Macaca fascicularis: one gene and its partners. The protein of the gene in region 1 interacts with the protein of each later gene in a pairwise test. Links are inferred from orthologs where the notes say so. Each region holds a gene or a part of one and is shown in the gene's direction. Other genes may lie near its edges.

Region 1 (3,751 bases):
GGTTCTCTCGAGCTTTCCCACCCCGCCCCTCCTCCGACACCAGTCCCCGCCCTCCGCAGCTCCTCCCAGCGCCTCAGCAGCCGGCCGGGCGCCGGCAGGGAAGGCTCGCCGAACCCTGGCCCACTGGCCGCAGCGGCCGGAGGCTTTGGCGCTGCTGGAGGGCGGCAGTCTCGGGCAGCCGCTGTCTCGGCGGGCGGCGACGAAAAAAAGCGTCCCCAGCCCCGCCAATTCCGGACCCCCGGGAAGACGCTACTTCTCCGATCCCTGCACCCTCGCCCACCACCGCCGAGCCAGAGGGCATAGGGCGGCCCTGGCAATCCTCGAGCGCAGGGCTGGGCCGCGGAGCTGGCGGGGCGGCGGGGCCCAAGGCGCAAAGCCCGCCCTTCGCCCAGCCCCATCGGTGGGGATCAGCCCAGAGGGCGGGAGCAGGGAGGGGAGACGGGGTCCTCACCCCCAGCCCCTCCCCTTTCTCCGCCCGGCACAAACCGGGAGCCACCCCGGCCCCAGCGCCTTCTTCCCCGCCCAGGCAGACGCGACCCGCCGAGGCAAAGCCATTGGAAAAAGCCCCGCCCTCTGGCAGGCTACCTCCGGACCCCCAGTGCGCCGCGCGCGGCTGCCAACCGCTGCCGGCTGCTACGCATGCGTGACTTAGAACAGGGCACAAGCGCCTCCGGAGGCTCTAAGCTTGCGCCCTGGGGCGGTTTCCGTTCCCGGATGTTTGGAGTGTGTCCTGGAGAAGGGGAAGGAAAAAGTAAGGCGTAGAAGTACACTGAGACTTCGTCACACACAAAACAAGCACGACAAAGAAAAAGGGCACGAAGGGACTCCTGGACGAAATTGAGTCTACATTTAAGATCACCGTAAAAGTAGTGACGGCCTCTTTATTACTCCAAACCCCAGATTTAAGTCGGTGGGACGTCTTCGCGTTGACTTGTGGGGAATGTAGTTTTGATGCTGCCGGCGCGTTTTGTTTGCGACAGAAACTACAATCCCCAGAGGCCACTGCGACGTCGCCTGTGGCTGCCCGCGAACCAACGGTTAGCGGTGGCAGGGGCTGACTGAGAGTGTCTGCTTGGTAAGCACTGTAGGCTGGGTTGTCACCTTTCCTTGACAGGGTTTTTCCTTCCTCCATTTCCTCTGGGATTTTGGAGACGAAGCCATCTAGCGTGGCCTCCCTTAGTCCAAGGATTTTTCCAGTGGCTTGCGTGGGAAGGACTAGTCCAGCTGCCCAAGCGCGGGGTGTGGTGGGTGAGGCGAGGATTTAGGGATCCTGATCCCGAGGGTCGCAGGGAGCGGCCTAAGAAGGAAGGATGCTGTGGAAACTGGAGCTTCGGGCTGCTGCTTCTGCTTCCACCCTTTTCTGTGGGCAGGCGCGGGATGGATTTGGGATCTCTGCGCATTTGCACCTTTGTTTGCCTTTGCTTAGGGATGTGCTGGGCTTTATTTGCTTTTAGAAAGTCATTATTTGAGAAAAGTCGAGGTTTGAACGGCCATCAGTGGACTGATAATCGGTGTAGATTTTAATTCTTTATGTTGCAGAATTGCATTACATTAAATTCTAAAACTTTCATCTTGCTAGGCACTGAATATACAACAATGAGAAAGACAGTCTTATCCAGTTAAGAGGAACCAGTTGTTAGACATACAGTTACAATACTATATGATATCACTGGGATGCCTAGAAGGAGATCACTTAGCCCAGTCTTGGAAAGCCAGGGAAATCTTCATCCCAGCGGAAATGAAGATCAAAAGAACAGCATATGCTAAGGCCCAGAGCGAGAGATAGGGTACTTTCAGGAAACGTCAGTAAGCCAAATCATACATACTTGGCGGTGTGGGGTGGGAAGGGAAGGGTGCTTTTTGTGTATTGATGTACTTTGAAGCTACAAAGAGACACATATTGTGAATTCTTTACATTGTTTCTGTAAGTGAGCTATTTTTGAATAGATGCATAGTTCTGATGAATTGGTCGAATTTCAAAAGCCTGTTACATTCTAACACTTCTAGTTTGAATCCGAATTTTGAAAAGGGAATAACTTATGAATGTGATTGAGAAAACAAAACAAAACCATTCCGTTTTTATCTCCTTTTTGGGATGATCATCCTCTATCCAGCCCATAAAGGGTAGGGTAGTTTCTTAAGGCTGGGTGCCTTTTTATGCTGTAGTTAAATATGATCTCACGTGTACCCATGGCTTCACCAACACTTATGACTCTCAAATGAATAGCTCCATTCAGCTTCACCTCTCAGCTTTCACATATCTATCTCTTGGATATTTCTTCTTGGATATCTCAAAAGCATCTCAAACTCAACATTCCTAAAATCAAATACATAGTTATCTGTTACAAATCTGATTCTTTTTCAGTGTTCCTTATTTCAGCAAAGGACACTACCATCCATCTACTTGTGAAAATTTGAAAGCCAAACATTATTCTTTATTTCTTCTTGCCCTTCATACTTTTATGGCTAAATTATTACCAAGTTCTGCCAATCTTATCTCCCAAAATATCCTTCAAATATATTTTTCTCTCCACCTGTCTTCAAACTGTGGTAATCTCTCAAGACCACTACAGTAGCAGTTATTCACAATGACCCTCCTCCATTAGTTCTCCATTATAGCTACCAGAATGATTTTTTTGAAACTGCAGATCTGATCAGATTTTCTCTTGGTTAAAACTATTCAGTGGTGTCCTGCTACTGTTAAAATAAAGGCAAAACTCCTTTATAAAGCCTGACATCATCTGGTACTCTTTCAGACTCACTTCATATACTGCTCTCCAGATCAACCATACAGACCATTTTTCACTCATTGGTTCTCATATTCCATTTCACCCACACATTTACTCAACAAATTTCTGTTGAGTCCCTTTTATATAACAGGACATTGAGGATACAGCACTGACCACAATATATAAAAATTCTTACTGTCATAGAGCTTACATTCTACTGAGAAGAGATAGTAAATAAATATGTAAAACATTTAGTAAATGAAATGAAGACAAATGCAGTGGAGAATAAAACAACTGGGAAGGGGAATGGGGAGTGTCAGGATGTGAGGGGCTAGGTTTACTTTTAAATAAAGTGGTTAGAAAAGACCTAATCCAGAAGGGGACAATTGAGGAGATATGAAGTAGGGGAGGGAATAAACCATATAGATGCCTGGGCAAATAGCATTCTAATGAAGAGAGTTAGTGCAAAGGCAGGAGCCTGAGTGCACATTTGAGAAATAGCAAGAAGGCTAGTGTGGCTGGAACACAATGAGTACAAAGAGAATAACATGAGGTCACAGAGAAAGGAAGTAATGGTGGGAGAACATGTACGTGACTGAAAGGACTAACATTTTTAATTGAGTTGGGAAAGCATTGGAGAGTTTTGTGCAGATGAGGGCATGATCTGACTTTTTTAAAATGACTACTTTTCTTTCTCTCTCTCTCTCTTTCTTTTTCTCTCTCTCTTCGATGGAGTTTTGCTCTTGTTGCCCAGGCTGGAGTGCAATGGCACAATCTTGGCTCACTGCAACCTCCACCTCCCAAGTTTAAGCAATTCTTCATCCTTGGCCTCCCAAGTAGCTGGGATTACAGGCATGCACCACCATACCTGGCTAATTTTGTATTTTTAGTAGAGACAGGGTTTCACCATGTTGGTCAGGCTGGTCTCGAATTCCTGACCTCAAGTGATCCACCCACCTCAGCCTTGCAAAGTGCTGGATTACAGACATGAGCCACCGTGCCTGGCCTCTTTCTTTTTGCCT
Region 2 (3,651 bases), on another chromosome or scaffold:
AGGTCCATGCTATCGGGGCAACAGTTGGTGTGTCTGATTTTCTTGTTCTTCCCCTCACGGTTGCAAAGAGGCTGCCGAAGCTCCAAGTATCTTGTCTTCACACATCCACATCCATATTCAAAGCAGTAAAAGATAGATGGTTCTTTTCTGTACCTCCTCCCTTTTATCAGGGATGAAGAATCTTTCTCCAGAGCCCACTAATATGTCCCTCTTCCCCTTACATCTAGTTGGCCAAAATGGAGTTATGTGTGTATCTTGGACTAAGGCCTGGGCCCACTATCCCTGAAGTCAGATTTCTGCCCAGTGCCCAAACACATTCAGAGTCGTGTTAACGGGGAGGATTTAGAATGGCATTTGGGTTGGTACTTTGCTATTCATGTTGGATGCTTAGACAAGATTTGGTGCACTGATTTATAAATGACTAGATGTGGAGGATACCTTAAAGATAGAATAGTTCATCTCAAACTTTTCCTCTCACCCCAAAGCACGACATGTTCGCACAGGCATCCCCGCAACTATATATAAAGTCAACGATTTTTACAAACTTTAGAACATATAATAGTTGAACAAGCTGGAAGTGGTGGCCCACACCTGTAATCCTAATGACTCCAGAGGCTGAGACGGGAGGATTGCTTGAGCCCAGGAGTTGGAGGTTGCAGTGAGCTATGATCATGCCACTGTACCTTACCCTGGGCAGCACAGCTAGACCCCGTCTTTAAAAAAAAAAAAAAAAAAGTTGAACAAATACTTTTCTCAGAAGTCATAGCTGGTTATGACCCACCAGTTTGTTGAGACATGATGCTGAGTAGTGCTGATCTCACTTTTAGAGATGAGAAGAGTGAAGGCCAGAGAAGTGAAGTGAGTTGACCAAAATTGACCACATATTTAGGACAAGAACTAACCGTATAGCCCAAATCTCTCAATTCCAGATCAGAAGACTGTATTTTTTTACTGTAGGACCATTAGATGGTATATCTTCTATTACTGCATAATAAGTTACCAAAACCTTGGTGGCTTAAGACTTGGATTTTTTATCTCACAGTTTCTAGGGGTTAAGAATCTGAGGCTGGGAGCGGTGGCTCACGCCTATAATCCCAATGTTTTGGAAGGCCAAGGCAGGAGGATCGCTTGAGCCCAGGAGTTCAAGACCAGCCTGGGCAACATAACAAGACCCTGAAAAAAGAAAAGGAAGGAAGGAAGGAAGGGAGGGAGGGAAAGAAAGAAAAGAAAAGAGAGGAAAGAAAGAAATAAAGAAAGGAAAGAAAGAGAGAGAGAGAAAGAAAGACAGGAAGAAAAGAAAAGAAAAAGAACCAGAATCAGGATATAAGAAGTAAGGGAGAAGACAAAAGAAGCATCAAAAACAGTTTAAGTCCAGGGAAACCAGGAGGATGCTCCTTCTTGTGTAAAGACAGAAAATTATGGTTAGAAAGATGGCACCAGGCCAGGCATGGTGGCTCATGCCTGTAATTCCGGCATTTTGGGAGGCCAAGGTGGCCAGATCACTTGAAGCCAGGATTTCGAGACCAGCCTGGCCAACATGGTAAAACCCCATCTCTGCTAAAATTACAAAAATTAGCCGGGTGTGGTAGTGCACACCTGTAATCACAGCTACTCAGGAGGCTGAGGCAGGAGAATCGCTTGAACTTGGGAGGCGGGGGTTGTAGTGAACTGAGATAGCACCACTGCACTCCAGCCTGGGCGAAAGAGCAAGACTGTCTCAAAAAAAAAAAAAAAAAAAAAAATTAACTGAAAACTACACTACCCTAAAGTCATCAAATTTCAGAAAGCCCCATGTAGAGTACTGAGACCTCTGGTCATGGATCTCTCAGCAGCCATCTCTCTCCTGTGTCCAGCCTCCCACCGTGGTGGTAAGGCCCTTCTTTTCCGACCCCCTCCTTTTTTTTTTTTTTTTTTTTTTGAGATGGAGTCTCGCTCTGTTGCCCAGGCTGGAGTGCAGTGGCTGGATCTCAGCTCACTGCAAGCTCCGCCTCCCGGGTTCACGTCATTCTCCTGCCTCAGCCTCCCGAGTAGCTGGGACTACAGGCGCCCGCCACCTCGCCCGGCTAGTTTTTTTTGTATTTTGTAGTAGAGACGGGGTTTCACCGTGTTAGCCAGGATGGTCTCGATCTCTTGACCTCGTGATCTGCCCGTCTCGGCCTCCCAAAGTGCTGGGATTACAGGCTTAAGCCACCGCACCCGGCCCAACTCCCTCCTTTCTTTCCCCTGTCCTGCTAACTACTAACCTCAAATTCCTAACTTCCTTGGCTGAAGAGTTTAGCCTTCTCTTTACTTCACTGTCTTCTTCTAGATCATGCCTCCAGTCCTCATCTTCCATATCTAAAATGCCTCCAAATAAATTCCTTAAGTCTTGCTCTGTCACCCAGGCTAGAGTGCAATGGCATGATCTCAGCTAACTGCAACCTCTGCCTTTTAGGTTCAAGTGACTGTCATGCCTCACCCTCCTAAGTAGCTGGGATTACAGGTGTGCACCACCACGCCCGGCTAATTTTTGTATGTTTAGTGGAGATGGGGTTTCACCATGTTGGCCAGGCTGGTCTCGAACTCCTGACCTCAAGTGATCCGCCACCTTGGCCTCCCAAAGTGCTGGGATTACAGGCGTGAACCATTGTTCCTGGCCACTTTAGTGTAGTTTTGATGTCCTGTGATTTAAACCCTTTCTTTCTACCCAAGTCTTCACTGAAGTCTGTTATACATACCAATGGGACGAGGGAGACATTGCTGCTGATGACATTCTGTGATGCCCGTGCAGCCTGCTGTATTTGGGATGAGGGGGGCTATTTCTTACTAGTTTTAGATAGAAAAGCAAGCTTGTCCTGTAATGTGTCCTAGAGGCCAACAGGTTCATGAGTGCTTCCCCCACATTCCTTTAGGTGACTGGTTCTTCAGGGACTATGAAGGTGGTGGTGGTGGACTCGGTCACTGCGGTGGTCTCCCCACTTCTGGGAGGTCAGCAGAGGGAAGGTGAGTGATGTGGCAGAGCCTGGGGCCAGTGGAACGTGACCTCGCCTCCCAGCTCTGGAGTCTGGTCTCTGGCCAGCCCCGTCCCTGGTTTTCCACTGCCCTGCCTCTCTGCTTCTCCTCGTCCTGCAGGCTTGGCCTTGATGATGCAGCTGGCCCGAGAGCTGAAGACCCTGGCCCGGGACCTTGGCATGGCAGTGGTGGTGAGGAAGCAGACTTGGCCAATGAACTTGATTTCTAGTTATTGCTAGCTCTTTATTTCCCTTAAATGTCAGCTTCTGAACCCCAAAGTGGCCCTTTAGGAAAGGGACATATTCCAGCTTCCCTGGGTCAGCTACAGCTTTGCACCATAAATAGCTACGGGAATCAGGAATTGTCTTGTTGTTTTTTTGTTGTTTTGTTTTGTTTTGTTTTCCTACATTTTTTCTTTTTAGAAAGGTTTATTGAGGTATAATTTACATAGAGTACCTTTCTCTTTGTCTGAAGTTTGACTAATGGATATAGTTGTATCCAGTCTTGTGACCCCACCAAAAGGTCCCCCAGGCCCAGGCAACCACTGATCTGTTTTCCATCCCAATAGTTTGGCCTTTTCCAGAACTTCATATAAATGGATCTTTTTGCTATTGAAGTAACTTTTTCTGCTTATGAGGTAGTTTTTTTAAAGTCTGCATG
Region 3 (3,651 bases), on another chromosome or scaffold:
CTAGAGTGATAATGGCAAAATGTTAGCAATTGGTGAATCTCAGTGAAAGGCAAATGGGTATTCATTGATTTTCTTTTTCTGTAGATTTAGCGTTTTTCAAAATAAAAGTAGAAGATAATTAAATTTCGTTTTGTATCTCAGGAAATAGTAGAGTGCCAGATAAACTAGTAATGCATTATCTTAGTGTGCTGTGCTAAGCATATTTGCTACTAAAAGCACTACTGAAATGGCAAGTGTGATTGGTTATTTTAAAAATTCTGAGTATGTTTGAACTTATTCAGTTCACATTTAAATCATACTGGAACAGCACATGTCTGTGGGCTGGCTCTCCAAGTAAAAAATACATTAATGAGCTTTTTGTGCCAATTACTGATTTTCAGGAAATGTTCTTTAAACTACTGATAAGAGTTCTGGAGATCCATGTCATACTAACAGGTGAACAAAGTAATTCATAGGAGTTACACTTGATGCAGTCTAATTTTCTAACACCAGGCTAAGTTTTTTTTTTTTTTTTTTTTTGAGAAGCGTTTCCGGTGCCTGAAAACTGATATTTATATTTTTCGTGAAGGATCTCAGATTCTTTGTTCTCATAGTAGATATCTTCACAGTCTATAAAGAAAACCCAGGTGGTTTTTGTTTTTGTTTTTGATTTTTGTTTTTTGTTTTTTTCAATTTTTAGTTACTGCTACAGAGGCACATAGGAATTTAAATGATTCCATGAGTCATGCAGTGAATTGGTAATAATACTAATGGATACACAGTTATTGACTCTTCTTTGCATTGGCCTCATTTTTCCCCCTGAATGTTAATATGTCATTTCTCAGCAAAATTATTTGTAAAGTAAAACATCTAACAACACCACCAAAATCTTGTAACAGCAAAAGGAAGAGCCGAGCTTCTGAAGATCAACCTTCGTGAGGTCGAATTAGATCCTGATATTCAACTGGAAGATATAGCCGAGAAGATTGAGGGCTATTCTGGTGCTGACATCACTAATGTTTGCAGGTATTTTTTTAATGATCTGTGATGTTAGACATTAGTTATAGACTTGGCAGGAGGACTAGTCTTAAAGTCAATGTAGTTAGCCCAGTGTAGTTAGACATGAAAGCAGCTACCCATTTCTTTGAAATGGTTTCCCATTTGTCCTTTTTTTTTCCCATATAACTTTATTCTTCATTGTGAGATGAAAATTATATAGCATTGGTCACTTATGTTTTTGATCTTTGGATTTTAAAGAAATTGTTGTGTCGGTGGCTCGTGCCTGTAAGCCCAGCACTTTGGGAGACTGAGGCAGGCAGATCACGAGGTCAGGAGGTCGAGACTATCTTGGCTAACACAGTGAAATCCCGTCTCTACTAAAAATACAAAATATTAGCTGGGCGTGGTGGCGGGCGCCTGTAGTCCCAGCTACTCGGGAGGCTGAGGCAGGAGAATGGCGTGAACCCGGGAGGCGGAGCTTGTAGTGAGCTGCGATGGTGCCACTGCACTCCAGCCTGGGAGACAGCGAGACTCCGTCGCAAAAAAAAAAAAAAAAAAACTTGTGTCTAACTTGATGATAACGACTTTGACAACCTAAGATTAGTTTAGCTTTGTGTTGGAGCCTTTCTACATCAACATAAAGTAATATTATTTAGTTTTGGTTGGCATTATTTAAACACATGCCGATGAGCAAAAATGATCAGTGTAAGCTGGGGAAGATACACATTTAACATTTTTTCAGTTTAGCGACATCATAATTTTTAGACACCTCCTGTCACTCTGTGCAGTTATTTTTTTCCTTATTTTTCTAACTGTACTTAAATTGACTGTAGTAGCCTTTCTTTAAAGCTGTAGCATCTGTTTTTCTCACCTTTTCTGCTCGCATTTTTCCCATGTGCATCCAAGTTTAGTGGCATACAATAAGGTCACAATAGTTTCTACCGCTACTATAGTGAAATATTTAAGAACTTGACATTTTTGTTGGCTTGGCCTTCCTAATAGCTTTTTTGTGTTTATGAATTATCCTTTTCTTCCATACCTTCATATTTATGATGGTCATATTTATGTTGGTCAAAAAGAGCTGCACATGATGGTCATATTTATGTTGGTCATATTTATGTTGGTCAAAAAGAGCTGCACATGGGATCAAGAGAAGCCAGAGTTTATGCCTTTAGTTGCCTGCAAATACTCCATGTAGGGAATTCCGTGTCCACTGTATGTGGATATTCATGTTTCAGAGAGAGTGATTTGTGGCTTTATTCCTCTATTTAGGCTGTAGACAAACTGGTCTGTGATTTGAATTATCTTAACATTAGCCACGTGTTCATTTCCAAGTGTACAATTCAGTATTTCAAAATTCGACTTTGGTTTCTTAAACTTCTTGGCTGTCTTTGAGGAGCAAGTGGGAAAATATAATTCAGTACTGTTTGAGCTTAACTTAGACTTTTAGGGTTCATTAACTGTACATTTCATGTTTCTGGTTATTTGCATCCTGTTTTAACTTCTGCCGAACCCCCAGGATGTTTCTTAAGTGGAAAATTCTAAGAAGCCTCATAGAAAACATATAATCTTTTGATTGTTTTTTCATAACTTTGTTACAATTGAAAGTGTTTAAAACATGTGCAAAAATTACTGTTGACTGACTGTGGTGTATTTTTAGGGATGCCTCTTTAATGGCAATGAGACGGCGTATCAATGGCTTAGGTCCAGAAGAGATCCGTGCACTTTCTAAAGAGGAACTTCAGATGCCTGTTACCAAAGGAGACTTTGAATTGGCCCTAAAGAAAATTGCTAAGTCTGTCTCTGCTGCAGACTTGGAGAAGTATGAAAAATGGATGGTTGAATTTGGATCTGCTTGAATTTCTGTCAACTCTTTAATTTCTGGTATTTTTGTTTATAAAATATGAAGAAATTCCTGCAATTTTTAAAAAACAGATTTGGAATTTTTTTTCAGTGGAGTGATTTTCACCTAAAGGAAAAAAAACATCTAAAACTGTGAAGAATACTAAATGTAGTTGAGAAATAATTCAGGGCGAGAGTTTGCTAGTCTCCCTTCCCTCGCTTTGTACTGGTATTCCACGTGTTCCTGCATTAATATTGCACACCCAAGCCAGTCTATCAGGGAGGCTGAAGAGAGGGAGCAGTGTGCTATTTTAGAAACTTGTTTACAGAAGATTTAGAAATACCCCTATTTCTCATTTGCAGTTGTTTTTCTTTGTTTTTGTTTTTGTTTTTTTCCACTTCTTTGCTCTGTCAACATGAGGGACCTATCTATACAGGTTGACTTTTAACATCAAAATTGGATTTGTGTCACACTCTGTATTTATTGTTAAGAGAAGAATGACAGTATATTTTGGAGGAAATAATTTACTGATTAAACCTTTAGAATTTATGACTTACTGTTAGGAGTCTGTCATATGGTTAGAATTTTTACTTCCCCTCCCGCTGCCATTTATTCTACTAGCTACTTAATAACGTCTGGAGCTTTATTGAGGAATATTCTCACGCTCTGTGGTATTTGAATCATTTTGCCAGGTCATTTCTCTGTCTTTAGTATTTTTTTGCTGGTGCTTCTTATACTTAATATGGAAAGGTGGGAAGAATATTGCATTAGATGTAATTCTTCATTCTAGACTTCCAAGTGTGTTTTCACTTTTCTTGTGTGTGTGAAGG

What was found.
Region 2: the proteins of CEP57L1 (region 1) and RAD51D interact in binary tests that used the Homo sapiens proteins (3 or more experiments, as listed by UniProt). The two-hybrid records come from large-scale screens. The link is inferred for Macaca fascicularis from reciprocal best matches to the Homo sapiens genes CEP57L1 and RAD51D.
Region 3: the proteins of CEP57L1 (region 1) and KATNAL1 interact in binary tests that used the Homo sapiens proteins (3 or more experiments, as listed by UniProt). The two-hybrid records come from large-scale screens. The link is inferred for Macaca fascicularis from reciprocal best matches to the Homo sapiens genes CEP57L1 and KATNAL1.

What each region holds. Positions count from the first base shown.
Region 1 is NC_088378.1:13,195,800-13,199,550, forward strand, and holds the start of CEP57L1 (centrosomal protein CEP57L1), read left to right. Parts: upstream 1-994; 5' UTR 995-1,075; intron 1,076-3,751. UniProt on the Homo sapiens protein: Centrosomal protein which may be required for microtubule attachment to centrosomes.
Region 2 is NC_088390.1:41,441,566-41,445,216, reverse strand, and holds part of RAD51D (DNA repair protein RAD51 homolog 4), read left to right. Parts: intron 1-2,891; coding exon 2,892-2,982; intron 2,983-3,111; coding exon 3,112-3,182; intron 3,183-3,651. UniProt on the Homo sapiens protein: Involved in the homologous recombination repair (HRR) pathway of double-stranded DNA breaks arising during DNA replication or induced by DNA-damaging agents. Bind to single-stranded DNA (ssDNA) and has DNA-dependent ATPase activity.
Region 3 is NC_088391.1:10,004,619-10,008,269, reverse strand, and holds part of KATNAL1 (katanin p60 ATPase-containing subunit A-like 1), read left to right. Parts: exon of another isoform or gene 1-107; intron 108-878; coding exon 879-1,005; intron 1,006-2,638; coding exon 2,639-2,837; 3' UTR 2,838-3,651. UniProt on the Homo sapiens protein: Regulates microtubule dynamics in Sertoli cells, a process that is essential for spermiogenesis and male fertility. Severs microtubules in an ATP-dependent manner, promoting rapid reorganization of cellular microtubule arrays.